Linked DNA regions of Neurospora crassa OR74A. The protein of the gene in region 1 purifies or fractionates together with the protein of each later gene. This does not show direct contact. Links are inferred from orthologs where the notes say so. Each region holds a gene or a part of one and is shown on either strand. Other genes may lie near its edges.

Region 1 (4,191 bases):
GGCAAGCGACGCTGGCACGGCCGGGAATGTGGTTGACAGAGGTCTCGAATGTCGTTGATGGCTTCGAGTCAATGTCGCGTCCCAAACAGCTGGGCAGGATGAAGAATACAAACACCCAAATCCGGACTCTGTGGTTCACTCTGTTGATGAAGAAAGGCGTGCTCGGTGTCTCACGTGATGCAGGCATTGTTGATGCTTCTCGCTTGTGAAAATGCCAAGAACATCATCGACATCTGATTTAGGGTTTTCCGGGGTTGTGTTGGCAAGGCATGCGGAGTCGATGACACCCGGAGAGGCATTCCGGAGCTCAGTCCTAGGGACATTCGCCTCGACTCCCGCCTTGGTAACCCCACCTGACCATCACCAAGGATCTCTTTCCTGGTTGAGCGCAAACAAAGAACAGCTTGGACTTGGTCCGGAAGTTGTGTAATGATGATTGCCCCTGAAGTGAGGAACGAATAGTGGTGGGCCATTGATTCTCGGATGGGGACCAAAGAACAATTATAAGTCTTGTTCGGACGCCCTTCATCTTTTGGACTCGCCATCCAACCCTCATTAACCATCCGGTTCATATCTCAGGATCCCACGTCCCAGACACATCCTTAACAACCCATCCGATAACGCGGCACTGTCGACCAGGTTCTTCCAACTTATACAAACCATGAATCTGGAGAGCTACTCACGACTCATTTCCTCCGACCAAGACGAAGACGTCAAGGCAGAGAATAGGGCTTGCACAACGCTATTGTCGCTCTTGATGCTTGTTGGGATCCTTACGTTGGGCGCAACGATGTGGCATGGGAACAGTTAAAGAACTGAAACCTGCGTAACATCTTCGGTAGGTAGTCAATCCGCGAACACTGTCAATTCATGCGATATCAGTCGTCCTAACGAGTGGAAGGTCCAGATTCGATGACCAGCGACAGCGACAGCGGACAGGACTGGATGGCCGATCGGTGGGTGGGTGACGTCGAATGGGAGTTCTCTGGTCATAAGTTGAAGGACGGCCGATGAGGCATGCGATGACAGGATTATACGTTGGATTCCGAATGACGGACAAGTTGATACCCGAATTTGTTGGATTGGATGGTCGAGGACAATCATCGACGGGATTGCTGGAGGACGATGGCGTTTTTGGAGTTTTTCGAGGTTGAACAGCCCTGCGCTGACAGCGTCAGTGGACTTTGGCTTTTGACGGAGTTTTTAGCGGGCTCCATTTGCTGCATGCCAGGGCACCAATGCGGGGAAGTGGATTGATCCATAGCACAGGACTTGGCGTTTTAGGTGGGGCACCTTGACATTAGCATGTGCAGACCGCCTTTGGCAGAATCAACAACGCTCCACTAAAATTTTCTCGGACTTTGCGTGCTGTGCACATGTCGGGTCGAATCTGCGAGTTTCCTTGCTGCCGTCGAATCCTCGATTTTGGATCGCATCAGTCACCATCTCCACATCCACCATGCCCAAAGATAACAAGCCTAAAAAGCGCGATGGCGCTCCTGCGATTACCGATGCTCGCTTTGCCAACTTCGAGACCGACCCGCGATTCCAGCTGCCCTCAAAAAAGAACCTAAAGACCAAGCTCGACAAGCGTTTCTCCAAGGTTCTCAAAGATGCAGAGTTCACCGCCGTCGCAAAGGTCGACAGGTACGGCCGCAAGCTAAAGACCGACACCAAGAAGAAGGCTTTGGAACGGCTGTACGAGGATGAGAGCGAGGACGCCACAGACAACGAGGCCAAAGAGAAGGCCAGCAAGGGAAAGAAGGACGAAGCGGAAGACGAGAGCGACTTCGAGGTCGAGGACGACGACATTGTTCAGCGCGAACTCGAGGCTGCCAACTCATACGACCCTGCCCGTGGCGGCGGTTTTTCTTCATCCGATGACGACTCCGACTCCGACTCCTCAGATTCCGAAGACGAAAAGCCAGAGGTGGAAGACGAGGCTGATGCGGAAACACGACCCGGTATCCGCTTGCGCAAGGATAAGGAGGCTGTTGAGGAAGGCGAGATCACAAACAGAGTTGCCATCGTCAACATTGACTGGGACCATATCAAGTCGATCGATCTATTCGCCCTCTTCTCGAGCTTCGTGCCCCCAGGTGGTCGCATCGAGAAGGTATCTGTCTACCCTAGCGAGTTCGGCAAGCAGAGGATGCAAAGAGAAGAGCTGGAGGGTCCTCCCCAGGAGATCTTCAAGAAGAAGAGTGACTCCGATTCCGACAGTGACTCGGAGGACTCTGATTCGGACGAGGCCATCAAGAAGGAGCTTCTTGAGGAAGGAGACGACCAGGACTTTGACAGTGACGCCCTTCGCACTTATCAGCTCGACAGGTTACGTTACTACTACGCCGTTATGGTTTGCTCCGACAAGAACACAGCATACAAGATCTACGAGGCGACGGATGGCAACGAGTATCTTTCTTCTTCCAACTTCCTCGACTTGCGATTTGTCCCCGACGATGTCACGTTCGACGACGAACCCAGAGACGAGTGCGACAGCGTCCCTGCGGGGTACAAGCCGGTGGAGTTCGTGACCGATGCTCTCCAGCATTCCAAGGTCAAACTCACCTGGGATACGAACCCCGAAGATTACTCAAGAAAAGAAGCTCTCAAGAAGGCCTTCACCGGTAGCCGCAACGATATCGCCGAGAACGACTTGCGCGCTTACCTTGCGAGCGACAGCTCAGACGACGAGGAGGACGAGGAGGAGAAGGAGCAGTTCGAGGCCGAGGGGGCCGCTGCCGAGGAAGCAGAAGAGGAAAAGACACTGTCCAAGAAGGAGCTTGCCAGGCGCAAGATGCGCGCTGCTCTTGGTCTTGCTGACGAGCCCGTGGTAAAGTCCAAGAAGGATACTCCGGTGGGCGAGATGCAAATCACCTTCACGCCAGCACTATCCGCCAACGACAAGAAGAAGGGTGACGAAGATAGGGAGGAGACGACCATCGAGAAGTACAAGCGCAAGGAGCGCGAGAGAAAGGAGAGGAAGCGGCAGGAGATGCTTGCTAGGAGGGAAGGTCGCGATCCCAACGCCGCTCCTCAGCAGGAGGAAGAGCAAGGCGACCAAGGCGAAGATCTCGGTTTCGACGATCCATTCTTCACTGCTGAGCCTGTGGTGCCTTCCAAGACGGCGATTCGCAAAGAGGAGAGGCTCAAGAAGAAGGCTGAGAGGGAAGCTGAGGAGGCTGCCAACGCCGCCGAGAAGGCACAGCTGGAGCTGCTTATGGCTGATGAAAACGGTGACAGTGGCCGTCTCGATCACTTCGACATGAAGCAGATCGCCAAGGTCGAGAAGGTCAAGGGCAAGAAGAAGGGCAAGAAGGGCAAGAAGGGCGTGGAGGGCAACGATGGTCTCCAGGAAGAGTTCGCCATGGACGTCGAGGATCCTCGTTTCAAGGCCGTTTTCGAGAGCCACGAGTTCGCTATTGATCCCTCTAATCCTAAGTTCACGGCTACTCAGGGTATGAAGAAGCTTCTTGAGGAGGGCAGAAAGAAGCGCAAGGATGGACCCAGTGTTACGGAGAAGAGTGAGAAGAGCGCCAAGAAGGTCAAGACTGACGACGCGGATATCGATGGTCTGATCAACTCTGTCAAGAGGAAGGCGAAGGCGAAGGCGAAGAAATGATTGCATCACGGGTAACAGCATATTAATGGCAAGTTTTTGATTTCTGTTGGTTCACATCCATCTGTCGTTCCTCCACTGTCCAGTCTTGTAAATGGTCCTTGGGTCAATGTGGTTTAAATTCAGGTCATGTAGGGTTGCTCCCTTTGTCTTTAATGATCGTCCCCTTTTGTGGATGAGGACAGAACCACGTACAGCTACCTCGCAACTCTTTTCCACTTCACAATGGCGGCCATAATATGTGGTACTCGAGGTCCATCAGTTCCTCATGGCCATGTAAGTTGGAGCTTTTGTTGTCGAGATGTTTGCCTTTACCTTTCTTAATCTCTCTCCCCGAGGAAATAACTCTGTGTGTCTGGCAAAACCCCTGGAAAGACACTGGGCCTCCGACATTCTTCCCTCGACAATTGTGTTCGTCTTATCCATAGCTACCTCTTTTCATCGTCCTTCGAGGTTTGCAAGCGATTCTCAACCTCCGGCCAGTCGTCAAGGTTCCTCCGTCAGATCCACAACCGGAACCTCTTCCCCTCCCATCTCCACCGGCAGCCACTCCTCCACATCATCCCTCGTTC
Region 2 (3,977 bases), on another chromosome or scaffold:
CGTCGGGCTATCTCAAGGTGGTCTGATCGCCATCATTGTGGTTGTTTGTGTCGTCACCATCTTCGGTGGTAAGTCTTTCTCGCCCATCAGCAATACTGCACTGACCGGACATGATATTGACCCTCCCTCCAACAGTCGGTAGCGCAGTTCTCTTCTTCCTGGCAAAGAAAAATGAGTGGAAGGTCAGGGAGACCATTCGAAAGTCGGCAAAGAGGGTCGTCACGGCTTTGACCCCACGACGCAGCGAGTTCCCCAGATCGGTCAAGGGATCTTTCCGATCAACCAGATCCCAACATAAAGGCCGTGTAAGGATCGATGATGTGCCACCCACCCCGCGCATCAAACCCGAGCATCTGGATTTGGAAAAGGGCATGGGGAAGCCGGAGAAGTCAGGAAAGACACGCATCAACTTCAGTCGGAAGTGAGCCGGTGTGGCGCAAGAGAAAATCAGACAGCACGAGTTGAGATATAATGAACCATTTGATGACGAAAATGGCAAGCTTGGGGTATATTTTGGGTATCGCTGGTCGCGCGAGCCTATTGCTTTGCGACTCGTATTCGGAAAGAAATGTGTGCCGTGGACGGCAATGATGTTCTTGGCCGGTTCACCACGGCCTGGAGGAGTTGACATGAAAGATACCATGACTTTTTCACATGTATAGTATATAGGGTTGGACCAATAAGCTTCTGGCGTTTTACAGTCGTCTAAAGGTGTTCGTGCTTGCACTTCGCCTCCCATCATGTCTCTTCCGTGTTGGTGCAGCCTCGGGTTCAGCCTGCTTCTTCTTCTTGGACTCGGGCACGAACGTAATCTTCTGCTCTCCGACCACGTCCGTTCGGGTCTTAGTGACGCGCCCGGTCCTTGGAGCTCTTTGGCCGAATGCCGTATCCTTCGCCTTGCCGCCCGCAATCTTGGACGACGAGACCTGCATGACCACGTCATCCTTGCTCTTCTTGCTCTTCTTTTTCTTGCTTTCGACCTCGCTTTCCGGATCGCTCTCATCGTCACTGTTGCTGGTAACTGAAGAGTCGTCCTTGACATGCTGTACTGCGACATCTTGTCCGCCAACCTGGGTGCTGGGGTTGAGGGCTCTGAACTCCCTGGACGTCTCATCGACCTTGAACTCCTCATCCTCGAACAGCTTGCCGAAACGAGAATCGCCCAAGACGCCAGCGGCAATCTTCTTCTTGTCGGAACGATCAACAATCTTGTCAACCAGCTTCTGGTTGACCTTGACCTTCTTGACACCTCTGATACGGCTCTCGCGAGCCTTCTCAACCTTCTCCTTGACGCGCTTGGCCCGCTCCTCTTCCCAGACATACGGATTGGCAATGAGACGAGCCTGGTCGTACAACTTGGAATGTACAAAGTAACCGTGCATATAAGGACGCAACAGGTTGGTCTTGCCAACCAAGTGAGCCAAGCTGAGCTGCTTGAGTTCGGGTATCGTAAGGAACTTGTAGTTGTCGTATGTGTCGACACGCTTCTCGTTCTCCATTTCGTGGACCATGTTGTCGAGGAAATGGCACCACCTGGGAGCCAGGCCAAGGTTGGGAATAAAGAAACTGTGCATCTGCTTGCCCTCGTTTGCCGTCAATAGCATGCCGGAATCGGGGACATGCGCCACATGATTAATGTCAACGGTCGGCTCGATTGAGGTCCAGAGGTCGCCACTCTGTTCGTCCCAGAGCTTGATGATTCTCTTATCGGCCGTGAGAAGCTTCTTTTCCTCGGTAGGAGTCGTCAAGTGGATGATGTTCTTGATGGGAAGACCCATGCCCTGGTCCTTCCGCATAAGCGGGCGAGGGTTTCTCAGATCGAAAACTTGAACAATACCCGTGCCTGTTCCGAGCGCAAGAGAGAGACCGTCTCTGCTGTAATCCAACGCAGTGATTTCGCCCTCTTGGCCGCCCAATACAGCAACGCGGTTCCTGCTACGGGGATCGTAGAACTCGACTGTGCCGACGGTCGTTCCGAAGGCGCAAAGACCGTGTGTGGACTCGGCGACGGCCGCGACATTAACAGCTCCGACGTTGATGCTTCCCTGAAGACCAGCACCGGGCTCATCTTCACCCACATCCACCTGCCATGGCCTCAGGAACTGGCCGCGCTCCAGATCGAGGCGGAAAACCTCGCCCATACCAGAACCATCCGCACTCAAACCGACAGAGGGAATGAGCACTTCTGTACTTTGACGGAGATATGCAAGGTCTCTGCCGAAGCGCGGGAGTCTGACTTCGTAGTGACATCCCATGGGGGTATGGAATTCGATCGAACGGTCGGATTGGAGGTGTACGCTCTTGGTGTAATCTTGGCTGAGCATAATGAAGGTGGTGTTTTCGGATTTGGTGTGGCGAGCGAAAGACAGCGACAGTTCCTGTGTGTTGTGGACGTGGAACTGGGGCTTGTAGGTACCGGAGCTCATGATCCAGTTGCCATCTTCACTGACACGGACGCAGTTGCTGGCCTCCTCGAAGTCGAAGTTCTGGAGGAGCTCGAAGTTGTTGAGTTCTTCGGGCTCGTACTTGGCCGATCTCTTTCTGCGGCGGGCAAGCCATTCTGGAAGGGGTCTCGCAGTCGACGGCCCAGATACGGTGTATCTGCGATGATGGTTAGCATTTCACAGCGGATCTCTCTTTTCCAATGGCAAATAGACGTACACTGGCACCGCGCCGGGATTTGTCAATTTCATGATGGGTGGTTTTGTTGGTGATGAGGGATGGGGCAAGGATGGAAGATGTTGAGAAAGCAGAGAAAGCTTCAACTGCTACTATCTGCTGAATGGGAAGTTTTGGAGAACAACCCTAACCCGTATCTGAACTTTTTGCGGCAGAAAATCTGCAAAAAGTTCAGAGAAGTGCCATGGTCGCCAAATAAGGAAGGCGGAGAGCCACCGGCGATAAAGCGAAAGGTAGTAGGGCGATAAGGCGGCTTGAAGAGGAAGCGGGACGGGAGGACTGCCCGTGGTGGACCTTTGAATTCTGGTAGGCGGGCGTCGCCGTCAGCAGGTCATTGCAGTACCTAGGCCGGGTGCCTCTAGGTAGGTGAGGTGGCAGGCCTGGATTGTGCTTGGCAGCAGGGTCCTTTCAGCTGTGGATACCTCTAGAGGTAGTGTGGGTCCTCCCCCGTCGCTGATCCGAACCTAACTGCCTGCGTGGCTGTTCGCCTGTCGCATCGGCGGGCAGGGCATCCCGCCGACCTGGAACCCAACTGACTGCAATGGACTTTACTGGACCGAATTCCTTTTGATTCGAGTCGGCCACCTCGATGGCGGCTGTGAAGTCACGATTACTGCCCGCCGTCACCGTATTCGTTACTACCACCGGACCGCCAACTACCTACCTACCTGAACCGATGTCCACCATCCTTCAGTCCCACGACACTAACCTACAGTAATATCGCATCCCGTCATCCCATCGCATCCCCCTCCCGCCTTACAGCTCCTCACTCCGTCCCATCTCCCAGGTCCCGAACCCGCAAATGACCTCGTGGGCGCATGGTCGGTGATCCGCGACGGTTCGCGCTGTATGGACAGGGGCCTTGCTGCCATGGAGTCCAGCATCCCAACGACGTACAGCTCAAGACAACTACCGAGTTCATCATCCATGCTGTTTGAAGTTCGGCTTCCACAGCTTCCACTTCTGAGCGTCGCCACAGTAGACTTTCATCCCAACACGCCATCACACCGTCCCTCAGGCCGCCGTCGCCGGCCTACATGCGCCCTCATCCCACTCCGCTAACACGCCTTCGCGCCCGGTGCATGGTCACTACGACTTCTGCGACTCCGCCTCCAAAGGCATCTCTATTTCAGATATGGACACTGGCGACTATGATACCAATACCTTGCTAATTGTATGCTGGCCTGTCCCGTCCTCGGACCACCGCCTCCCACTCCCCCCCCCTAACTCACGCGTCTCTCCTGCAGAATAATCTTTCCGCCATTTCTTTTCGCGTTTACGAACCCGTTGCCGCCAAC

Evidence for each region. The genes of interacting proteins can lie anywhere in the genome.
Region 2: the proteins of NCU04485 (region 1) and NCU03961 purify together in Saccharomyces cerevisiae (affinity purification with mass spectrometry, with the first as the bait; 3 studies listed by BioGRID). This does not show direct contact. The link is inferred for Neurospora crassa OR74A from reciprocal best matches to the Saccharomyces cerevisiae genes ESF1 and ENP2.

What each region holds. Positions count from the first base shown.
Region 1 is NC_026504.1:3,204,099-3,208,289, forward strand, and holds NCU04485 (pre-rRNA processing protein Esf1), read left to right. Parts: upstream 1-1,391; 5' UTR 1,392-1,459; coding exon 1,460-3,622; 3' UTR 3,623-3,868; downstream 3,869-4,191. Other genes in the region: NCU04484 (hypothetical protein), read right to left, coding at 4,106-4,191. UniProt on the Saccharomyces cerevisiae protein: Involved in the 18S rRNA synthesis. Required for the early cleavages at sites A0, A1 and A2.
Region 2 is NC_026506.1:2,245,952-2,249,928, forward strand, and holds NCU03961 (WD repeat protein), read right to left. Parts: upstream 2,801-3,977; 5' UTR 2,694-2,800; coding exon 2,662-2,693; intron 2,602-2,661; coding exon 696-2,601; 3' UTR 426-695; downstream 1-425. Other genes in the region: NCU03960 (hypothetical protein), read left to right, coding at 1-68, 136-425; NCU03962 (hypothetical protein), read left to right, coding at 3,815-3,853, 3,927-3,977. UniProt on the Saccharomyces cerevisiae protein: May be involved in rRNA-processing and ribosome biosynthesis.